Anolis sagrei: one gene and its partners. The protein of the gene in region 1 interacts with the protein of each later gene in a pairwise test. Links are inferred from orthologs where the notes say so. Each region holds a gene or a part of one and is shown on either strand. Other genes may lie near its edges. The genes, in order: CREB3L1, TSPO and GPR25.

The links.
Region 2: the proteins of CREB3L1 (region 1) and TSPO interact in binary tests that used the Homo sapiens proteins (3 or more experiments, as listed by UniProt). The two-hybrid records come from large-scale screens. The link is inferred for Anolis sagrei from reciprocal best matches to the Homo sapiens genes CREB3L1 and TSPO.
Region 3: the proteins of CREB3L1 (region 1) and GPR25 interact in binary tests that used the Homo sapiens proteins (3 or more experiments, as listed by UniProt). The two-hybrid records come from large-scale screens. The link is inferred for Anolis sagrei from reciprocal best matches to the Homo sapiens genes CREB3L1 and GPR25.

What each region holds. Positions count from the first base shown.
Region 1 is NC_090021.1:278,269,379-278,280,250, reverse strand, and holds the start of CREB3L1 (cyclic AMP-responsive element-binding protein 3-like protein 1), read right to left. Parts: upstream 4,015-10,872; 5' UTR 3,726-4,014; coding exon 3,618-3,725; intron 1-3,617.
Region 2 is NC_090025.1:97,644,856-97,655,923, reverse strand, and holds the start of TSPO (translocator protein), read right to left. Parts: upstream 4,408-11,068; 5' UTR 4,299-4,407; intron 1-4,298. Other genes in the region: MCAT (malonyl-CoA-acyl carrier protein transacylase, mitochondrial), read left to right, coding at 9,893-10,312. UniProt on the Homo sapiens protein: Can bind protoporphyrin IX and may play a role in the transport of porphyrins and heme. Promotes the transport of cholesterol across mitochondrial membranes and may play a role in lipid metabolism, but its precise physiological role is controversial.
Region 3 is NC_090024.1:185,439,911-185,449,204, reverse strand, and holds GPR25 (probable G-protein coupled receptor 25), read right to left. Parts: upstream 3,376-9,294; coding exon 2,293-3,375; 3' UTR 2,243-2,292; downstream 1-2,242. UniProt on the Homo sapiens protein: Orphan receptor.

The DNA of each region.
Region 1 (10,872 bases):
TGAATCCTACAATGCTAAGGCAGGTGGAAGCTGAAGGGCTACAGTTCCCCAGCCTTCCTTTAAAACAGGGATGGGCAAACTTTGGCCCTACAGGCGTTTTGAACTTCAACTCCCATGATTCTTAACAGCCTCAGGCCGCTTCCTTTTCCTCCTCAGCCGCTTAAGTGGCTGAAGGGGAGGGGGAGGAATGGGTCTGAGGCTGTTAGGAATTATGGGAGTTGGAGTCCAAAACACCTGGAGGACTGAAGTTTGCTCATGCCTGCTTTAAACTTTAGTAAGTTGAAAAGTTCCAAAGGCATTATTAAAAATAGGAATGTTCCTCTAATGGACACTGATGCATGTTCTTTTTTATAATGTAGAGGCCCCTCATTACTTGAGACCCTTAACTGTAACTATAACAAGTCTGTGCATAAACCCACCAATGGGTTTATGCACATTTGCTATCTGTGATACAGTGATTTCAGTCCTACTCTGTACTTAGGTAGACTATGTTCATGTGTATGATTAATTATTCTTTCAAATGATGAGGATCTCTCCCTTCACCAACATCTAGGATTCATCCCCGTCTCCTTCTGACACTAATGGAGGACTCTAGGTTCATTTCACAAGACTTAATATTCAATTTACTTGAATCTAATGTTCACTTTGTTTGCTCAAATGGCCCTATCAAAATTAGGGTGCACATTAGATTAACGTAATATGGTCATCTTAGTGCTGATCCAATGCAAAAGGGGAAGCTGCTTCAGGAGCACCTGGAGCTCCTATTTGGGGAATATTACCTCTAATTTAATGGTCATGGCTCAATGCTATGCAATGCTGGGATTTGTAGTTTGGTGAGGAATCTGGATTCTTTGGCAGAGAAAATTTAAGACCTTACAAAACCACAACCCCTATGATTCCATAGCATTGAGCTATCGGTAGTTAAAGTGGATTCATTTTACAGCATAGATGCACGCCAAGGTTTTCTTTTCCATGGCTGAAAGCTTTGGTGTTCTGACACTTCTGTTTTAAAGAAGGCATTCTAAGTACACACCAATTTTAATGTGCATCTTTTTTGTCCATATATATATATATATATATATATATATATAACACATACACACATATATGTACACACACACAAAGAGCACAGTTTTTGCTGCTGCGCATCACATTCAGCAGTTTTTTGTTTTGTTTTTTTTGGTTTCATAGTTTTGAAAAGTGAGGTGTGCATTAGATTCAATGGTGCAGTAGACATGAGTAAATACAGTAGTTAAAACATGTTAATATGGATGCGAAGTCTTTACAGGATGTCCTTATCATCTGAATGTACTTAATTGGTAATAATTATTAACATATGTCACTATCTTTACAATACCAATGGGCTATCAAATTGCCACTACGCATATAAATATACAAAGGGAGAGAATCCACCAGGAATTTCTCTGCAGCACTGAAAGCAGCTTGGGCTGCATCTACACAGTAGAATCAATGCGGTTTGACACCATTTTAACTGCATTGGTTGGATGCAGCACTAAAATCAGCTGGGGCAGCATCTACACAGCAGAATTAACACAGTTTGACACCACTTTAACTGCCTTGTCTGGATACAGGACTAAAATCGGCTGGGGCGAAATCTATACAGTAGAATGAATGCAGTTTGACACCAGTTTAACTGCCTTGGTTGGATGCTATGGAATCCTGGGGTTTATAGTTTGATGAGGCACCAGCATTCTTTGGAAGAGAAGTCAAAAGACCTTGCAAAATTACAACTCCCATGTTTCCATAGCACAGAGCCTTGGCACTTAAAGTGATGTCAAACTGTATTCATTCTACAGTGTGGATGCACCCTAAGTAAAGGGATCTCATATGATAGTTAACAGAGGACCCTTCTACATAGCTGAAAAAAATCCCACATTATCTGCTTTGAACTAAAATATATGGCAGTGTGGACTCAGATAACCTGGAGCCCTTCCACACAGCCCTATATTCCATAATATCAAGGCAGAAAATCCCACAATATCAGCTTTGAACTGGGTTATCTGAGTCCATACTCAGATAATGTGGGATTTTCTGCCTTGATATTTGGGATACAGGGCTGTGTGGAAGGGCCCCCAGTTCAAAGCAGATATTGTGGGATTTTCTGCCTTGATATTCTGGATAATATGGCTGTGTGGAAGGGCCCCCACTTTTTAAACTTGCCTTCTTTATATGTTAAGAGCTGTACAACTTTAGAAAAGCATGGAAAACCCTCCATTAAGTGACCACAACTGTTGCCTTGCAAGATTGAAAAACAATTCTGAACGTGAACCTCTCCTAAGAGGTTCCATCTGGAAAAAAAGAGGATGGATTCAAACTGTCATGGAGGTGACATTTTGCACTCAGAACAGAAGGGAGATCCATTTGGATCCTAAACCTGGCTCATCACATTCACCTGTCCAGCAATGGTGATGGTGCTTTGAAGCAAGGGTTGGGACCTCTTATTAACACTCCAGGACTACCATCAAGCGATTATGCCTGCCTGAGGGAACGAACTGCCACAAAACAATGTGTTGTCGAAGGTTTTCATGGCCGAAACCACTGGGTTGCTGTAATTTTTCTGAGCTGTATGGCCATGTTCCAGAAGCATTCTCTCCTGACGTTTCACCTGCATCTATGGCAGGCATCCTCAGAGGTTGTGAGGTCAACCTCTGAATGGTTCTGGAACATGGCCATACAGCCCAAAAAACTTACAGCATCCCTGCTACAAAACAGCCCCACACAAGCCAAATGTTGCCACTTTTCCAAACAAAAGGTACATGTACACTGTGGAAGTTTGACATCAATTGAAATGCTCAGTGGTATGAAATCCTGGGAGGTTTTTTTTGGCAGAGGGAGCTAAAGAACTCGCAAAACTACAACTCCAAGGATTCCTTAGCATTGTGTCATGGCAGTGAAAATAGGGTCAAATGGCACTCATTCCACATGTAGATAGATTAGACATGGGCACACTTGGGCCCTCCCTTCAGACGTTTTGGACTCCAACTCCCACCATTCCTAACTGCCTCAGGCCCCTTCCCTTTCCCCCTCAGCTACTTAAGCAGCTGAGGGGGGGAAAGTAAAGAACATGAGGCTGTTAGGAATGGTGGGGGTTGGAGTCCAAAACACCTGGAGGACCCAAGTTTGCCCATGCCTGTTCCATAGCCTTGAAAGAGAGTTCACCAAACTACAACTTCCCTTGTTCCATAGAGGAGGGGGAAAAGAAAGGGCCTGAGGCTGTTAGGTATGGTGGGAGTTGGAGTCCAAAACACCTGGAGGACCCAAGTTTGCCCATGCCTGTTCCATAGCCTTGAGAGAGCACTCACCAAACTACAACTCCAATTGTTCCATAGAAGAGGGAAGAGGAAAGGGCCTGAGGCTGTTAGCAGTGGTGGGAGTTGGAGTCCAAAACACCGGGAGGAGCCAAGTTTGCCCATGTCTGTTCCATAGCCTTGAAAGAGAGCTCACCAAACTACAACTCCCCTTGTTCCATAGCCTTGAGCCCTGGCAGTTCAACTGCATTCATTCCCCAGTGGAGATGCACCCAAGGGTCACTCTAGGAGGGAGATGTAACCCTTTCCCCTCTTCCTCCCCAGAACACATCTCCTCCCCTTTCTTACCACATTATTGAGGAAATCGGACTCATTGAGGTCGCCCAGGTCCAGGAAACTGGGGGCGCCCCCGGGGAAGAGGCGCTCCGAGGGGAAGGGCTCCAGGAGGCTGTCCATGGTGGGGATGCTCTGGATGTGGAGGGGTCCTTCCTCCTCCTCCTCTCCCTCCTCACTCTCTGGAAGCCCCTCGCGGCGGATGCCCTGGAGCTAAGCCTCCCGCTTCTCGGGGGATCTGGTAATCCATGAGGCTGGGAAGAAGATGCGGTGGGAGAGAGGGAGAGAGGGAGGGAGGCAGGGAGGGTCTGCAGGAGGGAGGGGCGCCTTCCTCTCCGCCGGGATCCCTGCCCTGCTGTCACCGTCACACACAGCCACTGAGTCTCAGCAGCCAGCAGCAGCGGCAGCTCTCGAAACCACGCCCACCAGCCCTGGGCGCTCATGAATATGCAAAATTCCAGCGGCCTCGAGAGACAGGCACCCTGCCAATCAGGCAACGCGAAGGCCCGCCCCCAATCCTCCCGCGCGGCCAATGGGAGCCCCGAGTGGAGCCAAAGCCGAACTAGGCGTGCAATGAAAGCAGTTTGACACCTCTTGAGCTCCCATGGCTCAACCCACTAGCCCTGCCGTGGAGAGGGGAGGTTTGGGCCCCTCCACACAGCCTTATGGCCCAGAACATCAAGGCAGAAAATCCCACAATATCTGCTTTGAACTGAGTTATCTGAGCCCACACTCAGATAATGTGGGGTTACCTGCCTTGATGTTCCTTGTTGTTTATTCGTTCAGTCGCTTCTGACTCTTCGTGACCTCATGGACAGGGGCGGCTCGTCCATTACGCGAAGTAAGCGGTCGCAGAACACTCTTTTTTGCCAGGGGCGCAGAGGCGCCTCTGTAAATGCCCCTCGACCGCCACTTGAGGAGCGCCCCCTCAGCTCACAACAGCCCTAGCAGTCCGGGGGGAGCCTCGGCTTTCTTGCCTCGCTGCCGGGCGATCCTCTTCCCAAAGGGGCCGGGCCCTTGAGCCTCGCCTAACCCCTCTCGTTCTTGCTCCACCCGGCCACTGGGTGCGCGAGCAGAGCCGGCGCTCAATCGTTCTCCGCGTTCGATCCCTTCCCCATGACCGGCTCCCTTTCCCGATCCCCCGGCGCTCCACCCGCCTCCTCTCCCCAATCCGCGGGTGGGCCAAGGGGCGGAGCAGCCGCGTCTGGTCCGCTTCAGGTCCAGAGGCGTGTCTGAAGACCCCAGCGTGCGCACCAAAAGTCGCCTCTTCTCCTGACTTTCTCTTCAGCCATTGGGACCAAGCGAGAGAGAGAGAGAGAGAGCCCCTCCGGCTGGAGGTATCTCCCACCTCCGCTCCCTCCTTTGTTTTTGTGCCTACTTTCAGGAAATGTGGGCATCTCCACCTCTCTCTCTCTCTCTCTCTCTTTCTCTCTCAGTCCCAATGGCTGAGGAGTAAGTCAAGAGAAGAGGTGACTTTTGGTGCACACGCCGGGGTCTTCAGGCACGCCTCCGGACCCAAAGCGGACCAGGCAAGGGAGCAAGTGCGGCAAGTGCAGTTACTGGGATGTATAGTTCACCTACAATCAAAGAGCATTCTGAACTCCACCAATGATGGAATTGAACTAAATATGGCACACAGAACTCCCACGTGAAACAGAAAATATATATCAATGATTGGTTTGGGGGGGGGGGGGGGCGTGCCAAAATACTGTTTGCTTACCATTGAAAATTACCTAGGGCCGCCTCTGCTCATGTACCAGCCCACACCAGAGCTCCTTGTCGGCCGTGGCCACCCCCAGCTCCTTCAAAGTGAAGCAAGTCACTTCAAGGATATCATCCATCTATCTTGCCCTTGATCAGCCCCTCTTCCCTTTTCCTTCCATTTTCCCCAGCATCATTGTCTTCTCCAAGCTTACCTATCTTCTGATTATGTGGCCAAAGTACTTCATTGTTGCCTCTAATATCCTTCCCTCCAGTGAGCAGTCGCATATTATTTCCTGGAATATGGACTGGTTGGATCTTCTCGCAGTCCAAGGCAATCTCAGAATTTTCCTCCAACATCACAGTTCAAAAGCATCTATCTTCATTCGCTCAGCCTTCTTTATCCTCCAGCTCTCATATCCATAGGTTACTACAGGGAATACCATTGCTTTAACTATGCAGATCTTCATTGCAAGTGTGATGTCTCTACTCTTCACTATTTTATCGAGATTGGCCATTGCTCTCCTTCCAAGAAGTAAGTGTTTCCTGATTTTCTGGCTGCAGTCTGCGTCTGCAGTAATCTTTGTACCTAGAAATACAAAGTCTGTCACTTCCTCCACGTTTTCTCCCTCTATTTGCCAGTTATCAATCCGTCTGGTTGCCATCATCTTTTTTTTTAATGTTTAGCTGAAACCCAGTTTTTGCACTTTCTTCTTTCACCTTGGTTAGAAGGCGCCTCAGTTCCTCCTCGCTTTCAGCCATCAAAGGTATTATCATCTGCATATCTAAGATTGTTAATGTTTCTTCCAGCAATTTTAACTCCAGCCTTGGATTCATCAAGCCCAGTATGTCGCATGATGTGTTCTCAATACAAGTTGAATAAGTCAAGTGAGAGTATACAGCCCTGCCATACTCCTTTCCCAATCTTGAACCAGTCTATCGGGCTATTTTTGAGGAATTGTGAAGGGATGTGCTCCTGTCCTTTGCTTCCTTAGACAACAAACACCTTGAATGTCCTTAGCATTGTGTGCAGCTTTTGTGATAGTTGGACCATGTCTAGACGACACAACTAGTCTATATAACTCCAAGCATTTATTTTAAACATCCTCATATCCCTATTGGAGGCACAGACAAACTTCGGTCCTCCAGATGTTTTGAACTTTAATTCCCACAATTATTGACTGTTAGGAATTTTAGGAGTTGAAGCCCAAAACACCTGGAGGGCGAACTTTGCCTATGCCTGCCCTGGATTATATGGCAGTGTAGAAGGGGCCTGAACCTTCCAGATTTGGTGCTAATCCATCTACCTGTGTCCCAGGAAATTTGTGGGATTCCTCATCTCGGCATACATTATATTAGGATTGTGAGAGCTTTCCAACCATGACCTCCAAATCTGAACATTCAGAAAGTTGCAGGGTGTCCCATTGCACCCCAACAGTTGATTTTCCATGTAGTTTGAGAAAGGCCATACTCTTGACACGCACACACACACACACACACAATCCCTGAAAAGTTCTATCACATTTAAAATATGATTTTGATTGTACAGCGTAACAGTTATCACAGAGGTTTCCTAAGTTTTAAAACAAGAAAGCAGTGTTTTAGCTTCCCAACATGCAGTTGGATCAAACCTTTAGACCTCATCACTGTCTAATCTTCAGGGTACACATGTACAACATTTCTCCCCTATGTAATTTACAGCAACTGTAAAAGATGCTTCAAACTACTAAGCAATTTTAGGACATTAAACAACTGACATACTGTTGACATAAAAAGAAGAGTTTCTTCTGAATTAACAACATTTTCTGAGACCTAGGATTGCTTATCATTTTGCTCATACCTCAAAAATATATCAATGTCAATATGATGGATTGGTTTAAGCATTGGACTACAACTCTTGATGCTAGTATATAAGCCCTTAGTCATAAAGTCCACTGAGTGATCTTGGGCAAATCCCAATCTTTTAGCCTCAGAGGAGGATAATGGCAAATCTACTCTGAATAAATCCAGGCAAGAAAACCATGTAATAGGCTTCCTTTTAAATCCACCATAGGTTGGAAATGCCTTGCAGGCACACCACCAGAACAATTCATGACATATTGTGATCTCACGTTGTCTAAAATCATGACTCCAGAGGTCAAATAACTTAATTAATGAGATCTAATTTCTGAAGATCATCATATCATTTTCATAAAATAGAAACTGGGAGAAGAGACAGAAACTGATGAATTAGAAAGCTTAAATTTTAAAACTGAATGTAAAGCAAAAAAAAGAAAGAAAATCCACATAGATGGTAACCTTAACTTGATAGTACCAGTTACTCTGTCAATGCAGGTGGGCCTGTTCCTTGCAGTCTGTCTAATAACACTGTAATTACAGACCAAAGCACAATTTTTTAGTTTCAGGAAGATTACAGGGCTTCATAGGGGTGAGATTACAGATCCTAGCCAAGTTTATCCTCTTTCCTCTTAGAAATCCAGAGAAACCTCTTTGAATAGTGTTAGAAAACAGAGTTGTGTTTCCCAAAAGACATTGCCAGCAGTGAAATCCTTCTCCCCTTCTTCATACTGCAGGGCAGGAAAGTCTTGTACGGATATCAGTCTGCAGATAGCTGAGGTGTAGTGAAGTCTAAACTCTAGTAATTTTTAATTCAAAGTGATGTCCTTATTAGAATAAATGAATACATTTACAATCTTATTATAGTTCAGGATGAACACTTCCTTCTCCTAAATTATTTTGATCAGTCTGCTACTGTTCCAGTCAGCCAGCCATGCCCAGAGCTTAGAAATAATTGGCAAAAAAAATGAATTAATTCCCCTAATTTGCTCAAGTTTTCAGCAACACTTTTTGTCAAAAATGTTACTTTGATACAATGATAATTGACATAGTTCTACAGTTTCTCATTATGTTAACTTGTTAACACTGTGTTTCAGCAATTCCATGCAATGTTTTTGAAGTTCAATGTTAAAACAGATTAATGAACAAATGCACAAATTAACATTCTTAACGTTGTGAGACCAGTGAATTAGATCTCCTTACACTTTCAGCTCTAATGTGTCAATGTTGCCATTAATGTTTTCCACTTCTGGCTATGTCCTCCTCCAAGAATATCCAATCCTCAATTCAGTTCTTCAGTTCTCACCTGCAATACGTGCAGACGTCCACACTGCAGAATTATAACAGTTTGACACCACTTCAGTTGCCATGACTCCATCATATAGATTTCTGAGATTTGTAGCTTGTTGTGACACTAGAGGTGCCATTGCACAAAACTACCAACCCTAATATTCCACAGCATTGAGCCACAGTCATTAGTGTCATGTCAAACTGCTACAATTCTGAAAAGCAGATACAACCGTAGTCAAAATTGCATGCAGAATTCCAATTCCTCTTTTTGTATTTTCCTTCTTAATTTTTTCATTTTTTTAAAGAAATCTACAAATTTATGATTTATCCAGTTCTGTTTATACTCACGTTTTGGCACTGGGTGATCCTATTTTGCCTAGAGTCAGCATAGTCTAGTAGTTTCACTACTTTGAGAGTTGTTGTGCACTTCATGTTATTTCACTAAACCAAACCTATCATAATTTTTTTCTTGGCAAGATTCATTCAGAAGAGGTTTTATCCTTGCCTTCCTTTGAAGCCTTTGGACTTGCCCAAGCTAGTCAAGTTGATTTCATGGCCGAGCAGGGATTCAAACCTTTTTCTCCAGAGTCGCAGTCCAATGCTCAAACCACTAGACCACACTGAATCTCCACTTGGCCATAGAGATCCACTAGGTGACCTTAAGACAAGCACAAACTCTCAAGATAAGCCAACCCCCACTGAACAAATTATGGCAAAAGAAATATGTTTGCTTTAGGATCATCATAATTTGGAAATGATTTGAAGGCACGAAACAGCAACTTTTGGCCATACAAAAGAATTGCACTCATGTATGAACACCAGAAATAGAAGAAACTGGGAAGACATTCCCATATTGCACCTCTCTGAAGTCAGATAATTCTCACCATTCAGGAGAACAATTTCGGCTTGTGAAATATGCTTATAATTATAATTCTTTAAAATGGGATTCTGCTGTCAGAAGTCAAGGAATGTCTGACCTGTTGGGTGCAGATATACCACCTTATTGGAGAGTATAAGGTGTCAATATGGATCTGGGACACATATAGACTGCTTTGGAGGCCCTTGACCCCAATAAAGTTCCCTCAACCACCTCTTTTCTGGCCAAAGAAATCCAAGAGGATAAGTTTCCCAATGACTATTTAACAGAAAAATACCTTTGTTTCAAAACCAGAAATGAACTTCTAGCCCAGTGGTTCTCAACCTGGGGTCCCCAGATGTTTTTGGCCTACAACTCCCAGAAATCCTAGCCAGTTTATTAGCTGTTAGGATGTCTGGGAGTTGGAGGCCAAAAACATCTGGGGACCCCAGGTTGAGAACCACTGGGCCAGTTCCCAGATTTTTGTTTATTTGGTTTGGGTTGTTTTAATAGTCCCTATTGTCTCTGAGAATCCCAGAAGCAGAAAATTGGCCCTGGAGTTCCACCCTTGCCCATCCCTAGGATAAATATAGGTGATGTATCATGGTCCTTTTTTGCTATTTTTTCAAATATATTTTTATGCTGTAGTTTTATTTACAGCTTGTCATTTTAAAGTGTATGCTTTAAATTGTTCTTATATGTTCGTAATTTAATTCTGTTTTAAATGGAAACTTCAGCAACAATAATAAAAACAATAGCAGGTCACAATTCTTTTAAAAAGACACTCCCGCAGAAATTAAAATTTGTTTGCTTTATAAAAACTAGTTCCATTTCATAAAGAAAATAGAACTACCAAAATACAAGATTGGTTGCATCTATATATTGGTTTGGGAGAAAGATGGATGGATGTGCATACACTGCTTATGGGTGACAATGTGCCATTATATCATCTTAGTCTTCTGCTAAAGCAAGACCAACTGTATAGCTCAAATTGAAACTTGAACTACTTTGTTCTTGTCGCCCAGATTTCTCCTTAGAATGTTTCACTTCAATAGTAAACACTCAAACATCAAATTGAGAGGATAGGTGACTGCCGCTTGGACAAATGATAAAATGGATAGTTAAGCCACCAACCTGGTGCCTTCTAAGTGTTAATTACAACTCTCATCATTGTCCATGCTGGCTGGAGTGATGGGTGTTGTAGTCCAGCACATGAAATGGGCACCAATTACTTCATCACACTACAAAATGAATCCACTTTCTATCCAGTTGCTGCCTCCTGCAGAATTCTAGGGTTTGTAGTTTAGTGAGGCTGTTAAAGTCTCCTCTGTAAACTACAAACCCCAGAATTCTGCAGGAGGCAGCAACTGGATTTAAAGTGAAATTATTCTAGTGTGATGAGAGAGTAAGCCTGATTTAAGGAAAGTCTAAAATACTTTATTTCATATATTAGCTGTCATGCTGAGGAGCCCCCGGTAGAACAATGGGTTAAATCCTTGTGGCAGCAGGACTGCTGACCGAAAGATTGGCAGTTCAAATCTGGGGCGCAGGGTGAGCTCCCATCTCTCAGCTACAGCTTCTTATGCA
Region 2 (11,068 bases), on another chromosome or scaffold:
GTACTGAAGCATTCATAGAATCGTGGTGTGTGTGTGTATGTGCGTCTATCCTATTCTATCCTATCTGATTTGTTGTCGATCCACTCCTTTGGGCTTCAAACAAATCTACCATTTGCCAAAACACCACCCCCCCCCCCCCCCGTCCCAATTTCTCACCAAATAGCTTAACCATTGGTTCATCCCCTTAGGCAGATCTTGTATTTGACGAGATGAACCAATTGAATTATTAAAATAATATAATATAGTATACTAGCTGTGCCCTGCCACGCGTTGCTGTGGCCTATAGTAAAACTTATCAAAGTTGAGGTAGATATCTGGACTATTATGTGTGTGCAGCGGCGGGGGGAATGATGGAGCCTGGGGTTGCGTGTGTGTGTGCGGCGGCGGGGGGAGTGGGGTTGCATGTGTGTGTGCGACGGCGGGGGGAGTGATGGAGCGTGGGGTTGCATGTGTGTGTGCAGCGGCGAGGGAGTGATGGAGCGTGGGGTTGCGTGTGTGTGTGCGGTGGCGGGGGGGGAGTGATGGAGCATGGGGTTGCGTGTGTGTGTGCAGCGGCGGGGGGAGTGGGGTTGCGTGTGTGTGGCGGCGGAGGGAGTGATGGAGCGTGGGGTTGCGTGTGTGTGTGTGCAGCGGCAGGGGAGTGATGGAGCGTGGGGTTGCGTGTGTGTGTGCGGCGGCGGAGGGAATGATGGAGCCTGGGGTTGTGTGTGTGTGTGCGGCGGTGGGGGGAGTGGGGTTGCGTGTGTGTGTGTGCGGCGGTGGGGGAATGATGGAGCGTGGGGTTGCGTGTGTGTGTGCGGCGGCAGGGGGAGTGATGGAGCGTGGGGTTGCATGTGTGTGTGCAGCGGCGGGGGGAGTGAGGTTGCGTGTGTGTCGCGGCGGAGGGAGTGATGGAGCGTGGGGTTGTGTGTGTGTGTGCGGTGGCAGGGGGAGTGATGGAGCGTGGGGTTGTGTGTGTGTGTGCGGCGGCAGGGGGAGTGATGGAGCGTGGGGTTGCGTGTGTGTGTGGCGGCGGGGGGAGTGATGGAGCGTGGGGTTGCGTGTGTGTGTGCGGCGGCAGGGGGAGTGATGGAGCGTGGGATTGTGTGTGTGTGCGCGGTGGCGGGGGGAGTGGGGTTGCATGTGTGTGTGCGGCGGCGGGGGGAGTGATGGAGCGTGGGGATGCGTGTGTGTGTGCGGCGGCGGGGGGAGTGATGGAGCGTGGGGTTGTGTGTGTGCATGCGGCAGGGGGTGTGTGTGTGCGGGAAGCGGCGCGGTGGGGCTTGGAGTGGGCATGGCTTCTGCAGAGGGAACGTTGGCCGGAAGGCTGTGTGCATGCGCCAGGGAACTTGCGGCTGGGCACCAATGCACATGCTCAGTTGTTTTGCCGTTTTGTGAGTGTGTTGTTGTGTTGTTTTTCATTTTGAGTAGATATCTTTGTACCTTGTGGGTTGTGTTATGGGCATGGGAATTTTGGTTAAGTTTCGTTGGGGTTTTTTTTGAGTTTTGTTGTTTTGCCGTTTTGTTAGTGTGTTGTTGTGTTGTTTTTCATTTTGAGTAGATATGTTTGTACCTTGTGGGTTGTGTTATGGGCATGGGAATTTTGGTTAAGTTTCGTTGGGGGGTTGTGGAGTTTTGCTGTCCGGTTGAACCAACCTAACAGATTTATATATATAGATAATGCTTAGACCATAGGCCTTTTACATACAGGACAAACAAATACACACATAAAAACCAGATTATTAAATACAATGCGAAATACACAATTCAAATACTATATAAACCATTGCAATGTTATATTGGGAATCCTGGGAGTTATCATATGGCAAGGCCCCAGAACTATTTGGAAGAGAATAATAACACTATGTAACGAAATTTTGATAAAGTTTCCATTCCTGGTTTGAAAGCGTCATTTCCTGTGTAATTCTGCAGGACTTAATTTGAAAGTCATAGTCCAAAAAGGTTGTTTTTGTGGCTGCCACAAACAATGTCAAAACAGTTGAGACTATGAGATATTCATTGAAAAACTAGAACAAAATGCGCTGCAGGATGTCCCGCACATAACAAAGTTTTTGTAGTTTAATACACTTTTAAATTGTTTTTAGATAGAACGAATTAGGAAATGACATTTATAACCCAGAAACAAAGATTATTAATTAATTAATTAATTATTAATTGATTGATTTGTTAGCCAACTTTTCTTGTGGCTTGAGGCGAGGCACAACACAGGCTGGATCTAAAGGCCGTTTCAGAATGCAGATTGAACTGGAGTATATGAGTCCACACTGCCAAATAATCCAGCTCAATGCAGTTAATCCTCATTCAGAAACTGCCATTATACAGAAGTGTCTCCAGCTACCATTAAAACACATCACCATAAAATACAGACAAAGAAAAGACATAGATTGAAGTGTGTCGTGAAAGATACACGTATGAAAATGCATGGTACAAAGATGAAAACACACTAGGAATATAACTTAAATCGAAGTATAAGAAAACTATCCCAAGGAAGAGGAAGCAGGCTTGTTCTCTGCTACTCATGAGACTCCGGGCCTTTCCACACAATCCTATATCCCAGAAAATCCCACAATAATGCTCAGATAATGTGGGCTTTCCTGCCTTGATGTTCTAAGATATAGGTCTGTGTGGAAGGGCCCTAATCCTTGAATATCAAGACAGAAAATCCCATATTTTCTGCTTTGAACTGGATTATACAGCAGTGTGGACTCAGATAACTCAGTTCAAAGCAGATATTGTGAGATTTTCTGCCTTGAGATTCTGGGCTGTATAGAAGGGCCCTATATCCCTGAATATCAAGGCAGAAAATCCCGCATTTTCTGCTTTGAACTGGATTATACAGCAGTGTGGACTCAGATAACCCATTTCAAAGCAGATATTATGGAATTTTCTGCCTTGATATTCTGGGCTGTGTGGAATGGCCCTATATCCCTGAATATCAAGGCAGAAAATCCCACATTTTCTGTTTTGAACTGGATTATACAGCAGTGTGGACTCAGATAACCCAGTTCAAAGCAGATATTGTGGGATTTGTGCCTTGATATTCTGGGCTGTATGGAAGGGCCCTATATCCCTGAATATCAAGGCAGAAAATCCCACATTTTCTGCTTTGAACTGGATTACACAGCAGTGTGGACTCGGATAACACAGTTCAAAGCAGCTATTGTGGGATTTTTTGCCTTGATTTTCTGGGCTGTATGGAAGGGCCCTATATCTCTGGATATTTTCTGCTTTGAACTGGATTATACAGCAGTGTGGACTCAGATAACCCAGTTCAAAGCAGATATTGTGGGATTTTCTGCCTTGATTTTCTGGGCTGTATGGAAGGGACCTACATCCCTGGCTATTTTCTGCTTTGAACTGGATTATACAGCAGTGTGGACTCAGATAACCCAGTTCAAAACAGATATTGTGGGATTTGTGCCTTGATATTCTGGGCTGTATGGAAGGGCCCTATATCCCTGAATATCAAGGCAGAAAATCCCACATTTTCTGCTTTGAACTGGATTACACAGCAGTGTGGACTCGGATAACACAGTTCAAAGCAGCTATTGTGGGATTTTTTGCCTTGATTTTCTGGGCTGTATGGAAGGGCCCTATATCTCTGGATATTTTCTGCTTTGAACTGGATTATACAGCAGTGTGGACTCAGATAACCCAGTTCAAAGCAGATATTGTGGGATTTTCTGCCTTGATATTCTGGGCTGTATGGAAGGGCCCTATATCCCTGAATATCAAGGCAGAAAATCCCGCATTTTCTGCTTTGAACTGGATTATACAGCAGTGTGGACTCAGATAACCCAGTTCAAAGCAAATATTGTGGGATATTCTGTGTGGATGGGCCCTATATCCTTGAATATCAAGACAGAAAATCCCACATTTTCTGCTTTGAACTGGATTATACAGCAGTGTGGACTCAGATAATCCAGTTCAAAGCAGATATTATGAGATTTTCTGCCTTGATATTCTGGGCTGTATGGAAGGGCCCTATATCCCAGAATATCAAGGCAAAAAATCCCTTTGAACTGGATTATATGATTGTGTGGATTCAGATAACCCAGTTCAAAGCAGATATGAGATATTCTGGGTTGTATAGCTGTGTGGAAGGGCCCAAGGACTCAATGGAGCTATGGGTTCAAATGACAGGAAAGGAGATTCCACCTGAACATGAGGAAGAACTTCCTGAATGTGAGAGCCGTTCAGCAGTGGAACTCTCTGCCTCGGTGTTTGGTGGAAGCACCTTCCTTGGAGGCTATTAAACAGGTGCTGGATATTAGGGGTACTTTGAAGCCGTTTCTTACCTGCTGCTTCTTCTTCTTCTTCGGCAGAAGGAAGGAAGGAAGGAAGGGAAGGCGAGGCCAGGCGGGAGCTAAAGCCTGGCGAGGAACCCAGGCCCCGCCTCCCAGCCTCCCACGGAAGAAGGGAAGGCAGATAACCCACAATATCTGCTTGGAACTAGGTTATCTGGAGTCCACGCTGCCATATAATCCAGTTCAATGTGGATTTTATGCAGCTGTGTTTTCTCAAGCTCAACACACCCCTATAAAAAAGCCTGGGCTGCCACTCCCAGCATCTCCCCCCTCCCAGCCCAAGTAACTTTCCCAAACTATAGCTGTAGACCTTGAAAGGGAAGGGCATGGCATTTCAAATGGGTCTCTTTAAATGGTTTCCACTTCATCACACTAAAAATTCAATTAAAATCCGTTTTCTGCCTCTGCAGAATTCTAGGGGTTGTAGTTTAGGGAGGAGCCATTAACAGCCTCACTAAACTACAAACCCCAGAATTCTGCAGGAGGCAGAAACCGGATTTTCCCCCCCATTTTTTAAAATTTAAGTAGGCATACATTTGCAAGTGTTTGTTGCATACAGTGCAATACTTTCTATCAATGTTCCATAATCATTTGTCTGATGATATATTTCATTTAAGGCAGTGTTTCTCAACCTGGGGGTCGGGACCCCTTGAGGGGTCGCAACGGGGTGTCAGAGGGGTCGCCAAAGACCATCAGAAAACACAGTATTTTCTGTTGATCGTGGGGTTTCTATGTGGGAAGTTTGGCCCAGTTCTATTGTTAGTGGGGTTCAGAATGCTCTTTGATTGTAGGTGAACTATAAATCCCAGCAACTACAACTCCCAAATGTCAAGGTTTATTTCCTCCCAAACTCCACCACTATTCACATTTGGGCATATTGAGGATTTGTGCCAAGTTTGGTCCTGATCCATCATTGTTTGAGACACAGTGCTCTCTGGAAGTAGGTGACCTTCAACTCCAAAACTCAAGGTCAATGCTCACCAAACCCTTCCAGTTTTTTCTATTGGTCATGGGAATTCTGTGTGCCAAGTTAGGTTCAATTCCATTGTTGGCGGAGTTCAAAATGCTCTTTGATTGTAGGTGAACTATAAATCCCAGCAACTACAACTCCCAAATGGCAAAATCAATCCGCCCCCCAACCCCACTCGGGCGTATCATATATTTGTGTCAAATTTGGTCCAGTCAATGAAAATACACCATACACTATTTACTTTACAATTGATAACAGTAGCAAAATTATGAAGTAGCAACAAAAATGATTTCATTTTTGTGGGGTCACCATAACATAAGGAACTGTATTAAGGGGTTGTGGCATTAGGAAGGTTGAGAAACACTGATTTAAGGGGTCACAGTCTACTATCTTCTATATAAATAAAAATATAATGTTCATTTGTGGGATTAACATAACTCAAAAACCACTGGATGAATTGCCGCCAAATTTGGCCACAAGACACCTAACAACCCAGGGGTCCTCAAACTTTTTAAACAGAGGGCCAGGTCACAGTCCCTCAAACTGTTGGAGGGCCATATTATAATTTGAAAAAAACTGAATGAATTCCTATGCACACTGCACATATCTTATTTGTGGTGCAAAAAGCTCCTAAAAACAATACAATAATTAAAATGAAGAACAATTTTAACAAATATAAAGTTATTAGTATTTCAATGGGAAGTGTGGGCCTGCTTTTGGCTGATGAGATAGGATTGTTGTTGCGTGCTTTCAAGTCATTTCAGACTTAGGTTGACCCTGAACGAGGGCTGGGTAAATTACCTTGGAGGGCCGTATTCGGACCCCGGGACATAGTTTGAGGACCCCTGTATTAACCCAAGGAATGACCATCACTCAAAAAATTGATTTTGTCATTTGGGAGTTGTACCTTGAGAAGCCATATCTGGCCACGGTGGTCCACGCTCTTGTCACATCCCGGCTGGATTACTGCAACGCACTCTACGTGGGGTTGCCTTTGAAGACTGCTCGGAAACTACAACTAGTCCAGCGAGAAGCAGCCAGATTGCTCACCGGAGCGACGTACAGGGAGCATACAACCCCCCTGTTGCGTCAGCTCCACTGGCTGCCGATCCAATTCCGAGCACAATTCAAAGTGCTGGTTTTGACCTACAAAACCCTATACGGTTCCGGCCCAGTGTATTTGTCTGAACGAATCTCCCTCTACGTCCCACCTCGAAGCTTAAGATCTTCTGGGGAGGCCCTGCTCTCGACCCCGCCACTGTCACAAGTGAAGCTGGCGGGGACAAGGAGCAGGGCCTTCTCAGTGGTGGCCCCCCACCTGTGGAACTCACTCCCTGGGGAGATTAGATCGTCATCTTCCCTTTTGGCATTTAGGAAAAAACTGAAGACCTGGATCTGGGATCAAGCCTTTGGTCATTCTGACAACTAACTGAAGGATCTGATGATAGACAAGGACAAATGGAATGGAATGGATATATGGACTATGAACCCTGAGCATAAGACTGTTTTTATTATTTTATTATGTACTGATGTTTTTAATTAATTGTTGAATTGTTTGTATTTTATTGCTTGTGAATTGTTTTGGGCATCTAATTGTGCCCCCACTGTAAGCCGCCCTGAGTCCCCCCCCCCCCGGGGTGAGAAGGGCGGGGTATAAGTAAATGAAATAAATAAAGAAATAAATAGTTGCTGGGATTTATATTTCACCTACAATCAAAGAGCATTCTGAATTCCACCAATGATGTAATTGAACCAAACATGGCACACAGAACTCCCATGACCAACAGAAAACACTAGAAGGGTTTGGTGGGCATTGATCTTGAATATGGGAGTTGTAGTTCATCTACATCTAGAGAGCTCTTTGGACTCAAACAATGATAGATCTGGACCAAACTGGGCAGGAATATTCCATGCGCGCAAATATGAACACAGATGAAACTTGGGGGAAATAGACCTTGACATTTGGGAGTTGTAGTTACTGGGATTTATAGCTTAGTTTGCTTTGAGTTGAGTTGCCACTTGGCAGAGCAGCCGTTTTTAACTGTCAGTCTGTGGTCGGTGAACTGCAGAGGTGGTTGATCCTGTGGTGTGTGGAAAACCAGCAGGAATCCTATAGTTAGAGAACTATAGGGGATGACTGATTCTTTAATATTAATATTAAGAATCAGGGTTTGGCTTTGAGCCCGTATAGTGAGATAAGTCAGGTGACTTATTTATATTAAAAGAACCATCATAAAGCAAAGATAAGCGTGTGCCTGAACCAATCTGTAAAAGAAAGAAACATCTTTTTAAAGAAACTGTTTGAAACCTGTTTAGAGGAAGGAAGAGCCCTTCCCAGAGTTATTCAAGAAACGTTATAAATGCAACCTATGAAGTTTTGTGCCTCTCAGAGTTAAGTAACATTGAATCCATCATACTTCTACATTCTAATAAACTTGTTACTATTTTTTCTAAAGCCTTGCCCCTCGGCTCTGGAACTCTCTCCCGTTGGAGATTAGATCTGCCTCTTCTCTCCTGACTTTCAGAAAGCTGGTAAAAACCTGGCTTTGGAATATAGCATTTGCAGAATGATGATTGAGTCAATAACGAATGACCACACTGGCGGATGGTGATGAATTTGTGATTTATCTATGGCAAGCATCCTCAGAGGTAGTGATGTCTGTTGGAACTAGGAAAAGGGGTTTATATATCTGTGGAAAGACCAAGGTGAGACAAAGGACTCTTGTCTGCTGGAGCTAGGTGTGAATGTTTCAACTGACCACCTTGATTAGCATACAATGGGCTGACTGTCCCTGGAGCAAACTTTGCTAAGTTCAGCAAAGGACAAGAGGGATCCTCTCACTTCTGCAGGAGTCTACCGTGTACCATGCAGCTGTGGACAAGTCTACATAGGGACCACCAAACGCAGCATTGCCCAAACACGAATCAAGGAACATGAAAGGCACTGCAGACTACTTCAACCAGAGAAGTCAACCATAGCAGAGCACCTGATGAACTAACCTGGACAAAACATATTATCTGAGAACACAGAAATGCTGGACCACTCTCACAACCACCATGTCAGACTACACTGAGAAGCCATTGAAATCCACAAGCATGGAGGAAACCATGAAAATGAACAAAATCTGGCTACCAGTATTTAAAAAACTCTAAAATTGCAACAGCACAACAACAGAGAGTAAGTAGGCAGGTACATCTAATTACCTCTCAACAAAAGTTTGCTCCAGGCACAGTCAGCCCATTGTATGCTAATCAAGGTAGTCAGTTGAAACATTCACACCTAGCTCCAGCAGACAAGAGTCCTTTGTCTCACCCTGGTCATTCCACAGATATATAAACCCCTTTTCCTAGTTTCAAAAGACCTCACTACCTCTGAGGATGCTTGCCATAGATGCAGGTGAAACGTCAGGAGAAAATGCCTCTAGACCATGGCCATACAGCCCGAAAAAACCTACAACAACCCAACATTTATTAGTCATAAGCTACGCTATCAAACTAAATAAACCCTCATTAAGTGGGGGCACCCTCACAAATGGTTTATACATTGGTGGCAGTAAAATAACGCTTCCTCACAATGCTTCCCCACAGAAGGGCCCTCAGCGAAGAACAGTTCTAGCCCCTCCAAATCAAATCTGCCAAAAAGGTACAGACCAAAGGCCTGAATTGCCCCACTTGAGGTCTGTAGGGGTAAAGTTGGGTTCTGTTGGAGGAGGGAAGGTAATAATAATAATAATAATTTAAAAAAAAGTTATTTGTACCCCGCTACCATCTTCCCCGGTGGTGCAGTGGGTTAAAGCACTGAGCTGCTGAGCTTGTTGATTGAAAGGTTGCAGGTTCAATTCCGGGGAGCGGTGTGAGCTTCCGCTGTCAGCCCTAGCTTCTGCCAACCTAGCAGTTCGAAAACATGCAAATGTGAGTAGATCAATAGGTACCGCTCCGGCGGGAAGGTAACGGCGCTCCATGCAGTCATGCCGGCCACATGACCTTGGAAGTGTCTACGGAAAATGCTGGCTCTTCAGCTTAGAAATGGAAATGAGCACCACACCCCAGAGTCAGACATGACTGGACTTAATGTCAGGGGACTACCTTTACCTTTACCTTTTACCATCTCCCCAAGAGACTCGCTGCGGCTTACGCTTACATGAGGCCAAGCCCACAATACAACAATAAACAATAACAACAATAATACAAAACAATAAATAAATTCATATGCAAATATAAGCAATAAACATTAACAATAACACGACACGTTTAAAAACCAATAGCTGGGCCAAATGTAATAATTAAAATTAAAAAAAAATGCTTAGGTAGCCTTAGGGCCCTCCCACACAGCAGAAAATCCCACAATATCTGCTTTGAACTGGGTTACCTGAGTCCAGACTGCCATATAGTCCAGTTCAAAGCAGATAATGTGGGGTTTTATTCAGCTGTGAGGAAGGTATTCTATTCCAGAGAGTCTTTTCATGCGGCGGAACCCTTTCCTCGCGCTATAGTTCCCAGGCAGGGGGAAGCCTTTCGCAACCGGACTCGAGCCGCGCGCAATTCCTTGGCACGCGGGCGGTTGCCGTAGCAACCGGCGGTGTGTTCCTCGTGCGGCGGCCTAGTCCTTGTGGCCATGGCGTGGCGGGGCAGGTTCGTGGCGGCGAGACGGTGGCTGAGCCAGGCCAGGAGCCCGAAGGAGGACGGGAGGGTGCAGGCCCTTCTGGAGGGCGCCCTGGTGGAGAAGGAGGAGGGGGAGGAAGAGGAGGAGAGCGCAGGCGAAGGGCTGCGGGGCCCGCGTCGCTCCCCGCAGGACACCTCGGTGCTGCTCTTCCCAGGCCAAGGCAGCCAGTTCGTGGGGATGGGCCAAGGCCTGCTGCGCTACCCCAGCGCGAGGGAGCTCTTCCGCGCGGCCGAGGAGGTGCTGGGCTACGACCTCCTGGGCCTCTGCCTCCACGGGCCTAAGGCCCAGCTGGACCGCACCGTCCACAGCCAGCCCGCCGTCTTCGTCGCCTCCCTGGCCGCCGCGGAGAAGCTGCACCACCTGGAGCCCTCGGTGAGCCAGCAGGAAGGCCCGGCCATGGGAGAACACTGGACAGGCAGGCCCTGCGCAGCCCTTCCACACAGCCTATCGCCCAAAGATCAGCTTTGAACTCCATTATCTGAGTCCACACTGCCATATAACCCAGTTAAATGTGGATTTTATACAGCTGTGTGGAAGGGGCCTCAGGCGTACTATACATCATATCAGAATTTTATATGGCAATGTAGAAGGGGCTCTGTAACAATATACTATAATATAAATGGGTTCCTGAATGAAATGCATACAACAAAAATGCCACTTGTATAACATAAACAATAATATAATTCAACAACAGTATATAAACATGCTGCACTGTTAACCTCACAGCGACAACAAACAATATGGTGCAATTTTTTAGTACAGTCGTATCTTCTTATAAGTAGCTTGTGGATCAGCCGTCCACGACTGGTTTCGGCCTACTCTGGTGGAAAAGGCCTTCCTCTGGTGGAAAAGTTTGTTCTCCTCGGAGATACAGATTTTTTAGCTCAGTGGTATAAGATACTCTGCTCTATGTTGAGTTCTGGCTGCGAGTATCAACATAGAGCCAGAACTCAACATGGAACAGAGTATCATATACCACTAAGCTAAAAAATCTGTATTTCCTGAGGAGAACAAACTCTCAAGTGTATAATTTTATACCACTGACCCAAAAAAATCTGTAGCCCCTGAGGAGAACAAATTCTCAAGTGTATAACTTTTCCACCAGAGGAAGGCCTGAGGTAGGCCGAA
Region 3 (9,294 bases), on another chromosome or scaffold:
AAGAACTAGTTCTTTTTTCAAAGGAATATCTGCCTTTTATTGGTAAAAGTCTTAAAGAACACTTTCTTTAGTTCATCGTCGGTCCCATTTGTATACAGAGCTATACAGACAGGTAGAAAGTGCAAAGAAATATGTACAGGATAAAAATGGTATCAAACATGGCAAGAAAGAATGGGAAATATCTACAAAATATGTGTCTGTAATGTGCATCAAACTTGCAGTTGTTCGCTCAAAGTTCCATAATGATCAGGTGTTAATATGAGTTTCTATTATGCTCATCATATTCTATTTGTCTTCTGTGAAACAGGCGACTCTGAGGTCTGTAGCTTTGTCTCCAGGGAAATTAAAATGTTTACCAGATAGACGTAGTGATGTTTTTGATCTTTTGTTTATGATACTGTTGCTGAACTTCTTAGCAAACTGCTAAGGTACTAAGCACTGGATTTTTAAAATGTTGTTATATGCCTTTGAATTGACTCTGACTTACGGCAATCATCGCTTGGAAAGATTTATTAAGGTTCACCAAAACCTAGGTGAGACTGGAAATCAAAGTCCCGCTTTTAACAGATTGCATTTCATAATTAGTCAGCACGGGTAGTAGACATAGCATTTCTTTTTCACACATAGCTTGGGGTTTTTTAAACAGACAATGTAATCAGTTTTTAAAAAGCAATGATTTCATTTTTTCTGTCACAAAATAGCATTGATCATTCTTTTTAAAAAAATTTCCCGATGTCAGGAGTGACTTGAGAAACTGCAAGTCGCTTTTGATGTGAGAAAATTGGCCGCCTGCAAGGACATTGCCCAGGGGGATGCCCAGATGTTTTACCATCCTGTTGGAGGCTTCTCTCATGTCCCTGCATGAGAAGCTGGAGCTGACAGATGGGAGCTCACCCCGCTCCCTGGATTCGAACCACTAACCTTTCATTCAGCAGTCCTGCCAGCATAAGGGTTTAACCCACTGCATCATCCACTGCTCCATTATTTTAAATAACAATGTGGTAGACTCTAACTTGGAGTGTGTGTGTGTAATTTGATTCCATTTTAACTGTTATGGCTGCATCTTACAGACTTTGGCAAATTACTTGGGTATATGGGCTCAGAGGCACTTTTAGGGGTATTCCATGTCCACCCTCCCAAAGAGCTAATTTTGCATCTGTCTCTCATTGATGGGTGTCAAGATTCTAAAATAAATGAAGTATATCTTGCTCAAGTCAAAAATTTCCCTATGCCTTTCTAGAAGAACAGAGACAACCAGACTGCTATGTTGTGAGTTAATTGATGGATATAAGGCTGACATGGGCAAACTTCAGCCCTCTAAGTGTTTTGGACTTCAACTCCCACAATTCCTGGCCTCAGGCCCTTAAGTGGCTGAGGGTGAAAACGAAGGGGCCTGAGGCAAGGAATTGTGGGAGTTGAAGTCCAAAACACCTGGAGGGCTCAAGTTTGCCCATGCCTGATATAGGGTCATTAATGAGTCAATTGCCAATTTAAATTTGAAAATGTGAAATATCTGGAAGAGTAGGTCCCACATATTGAGTTATTTGCTATTACCACGTTTAAAAAGATTTACACACACACAGTGTTAGATTTACATTTTTAATTAAAATTAAGAAAGCATATTGCGAGAAACCTAGATACAAAGGAAATTGTCAAGAATTTTTGAATAATGTCACAACAGAAGAACAATTTTAGTTCTATATTCATCTTTAATTAAGCATGCTTGTCTTAATGCGTTTTAAAAATCTGGTCTAGAATTATAAGGTAATTTATTTTTCTTTCATGCTAAATATTTTCAATGAGCAATCAAGATCTATTCATCAATTTTGTAAAAACGATACAAACATTCAAAAATGTGGTGGTGAGAACATATGTAATTGAAAGTAAAAGCAAAATAATTCACATTTCAGCTGCAGATACACTTGTACATGTCTCTCCTATTCAGTCCCAGCATATCTCAATTTTAGCAAGCAGAAATAGCTTTATAATGATGGGTATATGTTAAATTTCTATTCTTATAATGCAATAGAAATGGGGTCAAATTATATAAGTGGGGAGTTGATTTCATTCATACACATTAGAAATAATGATAAAAATAAATTCTTTTCCTATTGTAATTTACAACTGATAGTCAAAATATATCAATTTCCACCCACATTTACAGACCATCTCCTTACCCTCTTTTTCATAATCAACATAACTCAGAAACCCTGTGGTTATTCTCAGCAGTCCAAGCCAAAAACGTGCCAAATCTTGGAGGCTTTTGCAAACCTACACATCTTTTACTGTGTTTCATATCTGAACAGACGTGGCGGGTGGGAGCTTTTTCCTGCTGCCAAACAAAACACTTGATTCTGTAGATGAAAAGGACATGCTGGAGGCTTGCATATTTCCCTTTGCTTTCCAAAATCCAGGGAAATACATCAGGACCTGCTGTCGAAAGTGCTGATCCATAAAGACATAGATGACAGGGTTGATACAGCTGTTTACGAAAGCCAGGCAAGCGGTGATGGTGAGTCCCCCGAAGAGAGTTCTCAGGGCCTGGCAAGAGAGATCAATGTTCTGAGCCATAGTGAAGATTATCTTGAAGGTGTTGAAAGGCAGCCAAGAACAGACAAATGCCCCAATGATGGTAAAGATGATTTTAAGGGCATTGTTTCTTCTTTTGCCTAGTCTGGCATGGCTCTGAAGTTTGGAGAAGATAGAGCAATAGCAGAACAAGATGACTCCCAACGGCAACAGGAAGGTTAAGCTGAGCATGACCACACTGAAGGTGGCAGGGGGGTCACCCTGGCATGAATATTTGCTATCTCCCTTGAAGGCCAGATTTCTGTAGACCAGTGATGGTATTCCTAGAAGTAGTGAGATTGCCCAGATGCAGCCACAGCTCGTGATGGCATTCTTCCTGGTTCCAATGGACCTGGCATCCCAACGCTTGGTCATCACAAGGAAGCGTTCCACGCTCATGCCTGTCAGGAACAAGATACTTGAGCAGCGGTTGACAGAGATGGTATAGCTGCTCAGCTTGCATAGTCCTTCACTAAAGAGCCAGCCATCAAGAGCTGCTGACAAACCCCAGAAAGGCAAAGTAAATACAAAGACCAGGTCAGCTATGGCCAGATTGAGAACGAAGGTATCCACAAGCCTTTTGCTACCTTGTTTTCGTGCCATCAGTAGGATCACAAATAGGTTCCCAAAGAAACCGATGAAAAAACTCAGGAAATAGAGAATGGGGATAAAGATGTAAGCAAATGGTAGTTCCAGGTGGCAGATATTCATAGAATCCAATCCATCATATTCAGTTGGGTATTCTTCAAAGTTGCTACTCCAGTTTTCTGTCATTGCTGATGTAGTTGACAATTGAGCAGCTTCCATCTCTTAACAAGGATTCACTGAAGAGTCTTCAGCAATATTGTTGCAAGAGGACACCAAGGCACATTCAATCTATAACAGGTGGGTGTTGTCTAAAGAGTGGTTTTCTTGTTTTTCTAGTGGTAACTTCCTCTTGCTTTTCATGAAGAGGTAGAGGTTTGTTTCAGTCAAGCAATAACAACTTGAAAGCTTGACATCAACCCAATTTTGGAAATCCTTTAAGATTGCAGAAACTGGGTATCAGGATGCTTATGTTTGAAGAGTGTGTACATTTATGATCATGGTGGAACCTTCTATGATGGTCGCAGCAGGATATTTGCAATCCAGTGATGATTACTTGTTTCACTGCAGATTTTATGAAATCAGAAAATAAATATCACTGTCCTTAAAGCATGCATCAAAGAAAATGTTGGACTTTTCACACAGTGCTTATCAAGAGTTGCTTCTCAAGTGGAATGGCTTACTTGCAGAATGATATTCATTTGAACCCTGACAACCTTTAAGCCAGGGGTGTCAAACTCATATTCTACCAAGCGCCACATCAGCCTTATGTTTGCTTTCAAAGAGCTGTTGAATCCATGGATGGAAAATCTGTTGATACAGAGGGCCAAAAATAATTCTTTACATAGTGGTTGGTGCTCTTTACTTTTCATCCATTGTGGGTCCCCAGATGTTATTGAATGACAATTCCCATCATTTTTGATTATCTGTCATGGTCTAGGGATTGTAAGAATTGCAACTCAACAGTACTTGTGGCTCAGAAGAATGGTTACAAGACAATTTAAAGTAAGATATACTATCCAGAAGTCTTGTATCTAAATTCAAATCCTATTATCCTGACTAAACAGAACAAATTGCTGCTTTCCATCAGCTATAGTCATGATGACTAATGATGAGGAATACAAGAGTTTTAGTCCAGCATCTAGAGGACCAGATTCAGCCCTTGGATCTTGAATCTGGTACATGTACAGGGTTAGTCAAAATGAATAGGCCAATAAGAAAATTAATTGTACCCGAATGTATGTTTACTGTAACCAAACCACAGCTACGTAGCGACAGATAAACTATCAAAGTTTTTTTTGAGCAACACACATGTACGTTAATGCCGCTAGGCATCGCTAGGAGTCGCTGTTTTCAAAATGGCGGAATCAGGCAAAGAGAAGGCGTTTTGTGTGATGACATTTGCTAAAACAATGTCAGTAATTACGGTCCAGCGAGAATTTCGAGCCAAGTATGGCAAGGAACCACCTCATCGACATTCCAGGTGGGTAAAGCAATTTGAGGAGACGGGCTGCTTATGCAAGGGTAAAACCACAGGACGACCGTGTGTCTCCGAAGACACAGTGGAATCCATTTATGCATCCTTTCAACGAAGTCCCCAGAAGTCGACAAATCGTGTTTCCATGGAATTGAACGTTCCGCAAAAAACTGTGTGGCGCGTGTTACGCAAACGTTTGCAGTTCAAGCCATATAAATTGCAAATGGTGCAGGCTTTGAAAAAAGGTGACTATTCGAAACGACACGATTTTTGCGAATCAATGTAGCGAAGACTAGAGGAGGAAGGCTTTGCCAACAGACTGGTCTTCAGTGACGAGGCAACGTTTCACCTGTGCGGGAAGGTCAATAGGCATAATCTCCGCTTTTGGGGATCTGAAAATCCTCATGCCGTATTGGAACATGTAAGGGATTCGCCGAAGGTAAACGTTTTCTGTGCAATAACCAACCGTCACGTGTTTGGCCCATTCTTTTTTGCGGAGAAAACCGTAACAGGCATAGTGTACGCTGACATGTTGTCTGAATGGTTGATGCCACAGTTAGAAGAGAAAGTGCCCAATTTCGTATTCCAACAGGACGGTGCCCCTCCGCATTGGCACAACAGTATACGCGAGTACCTCAACGAACACCTTCCCAGACGTTGGATTGGCCGTGCTGGAGTGACTGATCTTCCATTCCTCCTGTGGCCCCCCAGGTCCCCCGACCTCACACCATGCGACTTTTCTCTCTGGGGGTATGTGAAAGACACTGTGTTCCGACCTCCATTACCGCTGACCTTGGACGACTTAAAACAGCGCATATGTGCTGCATTCGATGCCATTACGTCGGATGTGCTGCAACGGATGTGGAATTAACTGGACTATCGCTTGGACGTCTGCCGTGTCACACGGGGCGCCCATATCAAACATCTCTGAAGGTGAGACAAAACTTTGATAATTTATCTGTCGATACGTAGCTGTAGTTTGGTTACAATAAACATACATTCGTCTAAAATTAATTTTCTTATTGGCCTATTCATTTTGACTAACCCTGTATTTTAAGCTCTACAATCACCGGGGGGGGGGGGGGATCAATTCTTAAACAAGATCCTTTCCTCCTAAATTTTATACATTTCTGCTAAATGCTGCATTATGGCCATTGTGATCCATGCCTTAGTTATATCTAGAATGGATTACTGCAATGCACTCTACGTGGGGCTGCCTCTGAAGATGGCTTGGAAATTGCAGTTGGTGCAAAGATCGGCAGCCAGGATACTAACTGGGGCTATCTATAGGGAGACACCTTGCCCCTACTGAAGCAGCTCCACTGGCTGCCAATAAGTTTCTGGTCCCAATTCAATGTGCAGGTTATTAGCTACAATGCTCTACACCAGGGGTCCTCAGACTTTTTAAACTTTTTAAACAGAAGGCTAGGCCACAGTCCCTCAAACTGTTGGAGGGCGGGATTATAATTGGAAAAAAACATGAATGAATTCCTATGCACACTGCACATACCTTATTTGTAGTGCAAAAACCACTTAAAAACAATACAATAATTAAAATGAAGAACAAATACCAATTTATTAGTATTTCAATGGGAAGTGTGGGCCTGCTTTTGGCTGATGAGATAGAATTGTTGTTGTGTGCTTTCAAGTTGTTTCAGACTTAGGTTGACCCTGAGTGAGGGCCGGGTAAATAACCTTGGAGGGCCGCATCCGGGCCCCGAGCCTTAGTTTGAGGACCCCTGACAGTTCGGGTCTAGCCTATCTTTGTGATCGCATCTCCCCCTATGAACCGGTGTTGGCTCTAAGATCTTCCAGGGAAGCCGTCCTCTCGGTCCCACCTCCATATCAAGTGCAGTTAGCGGGGATGAGGGAGAGGGCCCAAAGCTGGGGGTGGTGGCCCCCAGCTTCAGAACTCCTTCCCCAAGGAACGTAGGCAAGACCCCACACTACAGCACTTTTGGAAAGAGTTAAAAACTTGGGTTTTTCAGCAGGCCTTTAATAAAATTTAAGCTGGTAGCCAAACCGATTGCCAATTACTTTAGTACCTTATATCTACATTTTGATGGGTATACAGCTGGGCTGCTAAATCAATTGCTATGGATCTTTCTAACCAATGACTATAGCCACATTTTACCAATACTATTTAATAGAGATTGTTTTTGTTAATTTTATATGTATGTTTTTATGTAAATGTGTTATTGATTCTATATGTTGATGTATTGTATTTTATGTATGTATGGCACCATTGTGTGCTATTTTGTAAGCAACTCTGAGTCCTTACGGGAGATAGTGGTGGGGTATAAATAAAGTTTTATTATTTGATACATAACAAGATTAGTACACAGCAAACAAGAACACTATGCTGGCTTTTGTATTTGATCACACGTCAGACACTTCCCAAGTGTTTAGGACTGTGTGATTTATCTCCGAATAATGCCTGCAGATGACCTTTTGCAGCTAACAGATGGTAATTTTGTCAGCGTCGATTGTTTTTAAGTGCACACCAAGGTCTTTAGGCACTGCATCCAGTGTGCCGATTACTACTGGGACCACCTTTACTGGCTTGTGCCAGAGTCTTTGCAGTTCTGTCTTTAAATCCTCATGTCACGAAAGCTTTTCCGGTTGCTTCTTGTCACCACTTCTTCTTCTTCTTCTTCTTCTTCTTCTTCTTCTTCTTCTTCTTCTTCTTCTTCTTCTTCTTCTTATGTATAAGTAAGAAATTACTTCAGCAAGTTATTAAAACCAAAATTTTAAATGTATTACACTTTACCAAAGGTAAAACATAAAAATGACATCATAAAATTTATAAAATAGTAAAACGCCTAGTGTTCTTTGATTAATAATTAATTAGAAGAGCAAAAATATAGTTTTCTTGAGGCAATATCTAAAGAAAACTATATTTTTGTGCTCCTTCAAAAACCTTTTGCCTAAACATATCAGGCATCTTTTTTATATAAATGTAACTTTCCAGTATTACTTTTGTTCTTCTCCTTTCCGCACTCTTTAAATGTTGATGCTGCTCTCCTTTTCATTTCAAAACCACATTGAAACAGGGTAACAGTCAATTAATTATTTACAAGCCAATTAGCCAAACATTTTATATACTTTAGAAATTGAAATGACTCATCTGTGCAGTATGAATTGGACAGTATTGAATTAATGATAAATGATCAGCATAAAAGTGCAAGCTCTGAAGCAACAAGTGCACAAAAAGGACAAAACTGCCATAGACAAAGAAATGTTCACAGACAAAGGTTCTGTTCCAGGGTTTTAAAAGCCTTTGCAACTGTTGAAAACTCTCTTTCTGCTGTCTTCTTAGATGAGTGGCAAAGTGCATTCTTATTCTTGCACAGGTAGGCAGTCAGGACAGTTGTATGATTAAATAATGAATAAAATGAAAATCAGAATCGTGCGACATCTTTCTTTGAATCAGTAAAATGTAACAAGTGTATCAAGTTTTGGAGTTTTCTGGAACTCTTCATCAGGTCCAATTATACTGGAATATCAAGATATGGAAAAAGAAAAACAAATATCTGTATGCATTTAGTATATTCTCTGCAGCCAAACTGATTACCAAGATACAGACTCATGATTCAGTGAAAATGAGAAGTGTTTAGAAAGTGTTGATAAATTATTTCTTATTTATTTATTTTTAAAAGTTGCATCTATATATATAAATTTGTTAGGGGCATCCAACGAGGAAACAAAACTCAAAAACCCCCCAACGAAACTTAACCAAAATTCCCATGCCCATAACACATCCCACAAGGTACAAACATATCTACTCAAAATGAAAAACAACACAACAACACACTCACAAAACGGCAAAACAACAAAACTCAAAAAAACCCCAACGAAACTTAACCAAAATCCCTGTGCCCATAACACAACCCACAAGGTACAAACATATCTACTCAAAATGAAAAACAACACAACAACACACACAAAACGGCAAAACAACAAAACTCAAAAATCCCCCAACGAAACTTAACCAAAATCCCCGTGCCCATAACACAACCCACAAGGTACAAACATATCTACTCAAAATGAAAAACAACACAACAACACACTCACAAAACGGCAAAACAACAAAACTCAAAAATCCCCCAACGAAACTTAACTAAAATCCCCGTGCCCATAACACAGCCCACAAGGTACAAACATATCTACTCAAAATGAAAAACAACACAGCAACACACTCACAAAACGGCAAAAGAACAAAACTCAAAAAAACCCCAACGAAACTTAACCAAAATTCCCATGCCCATAACACAACCCACAAGGTACAAACATATCTACTCAAAATGAAAAACAACACAACAACACACTCACAAAACGGCAAAACAACTGAGCATGCGCATTGGCGCCCAGCCGCAAGTTCCCTGGCGCGCGCACATGGCCTTCCGGCCAACGTTCCCTCTGCGGAAACCATGCCCACTCCAAGCCCCGCCGCGCCGCTTCCCGCACACACACACCCCCTGCCGCACACACACACGCAACCCCACGCTCCATCACTCCCCCCGCCGCCGCATACACACACGCAACCCCACTCCCCCCGCCGCCACACACACACACGCAACCCCACTCCCCCCGCCGCCGCACACACACACGCAACCCCACGCTCCATCACTCCCCCCGCTGCCGCACACACACACGCAACCCCA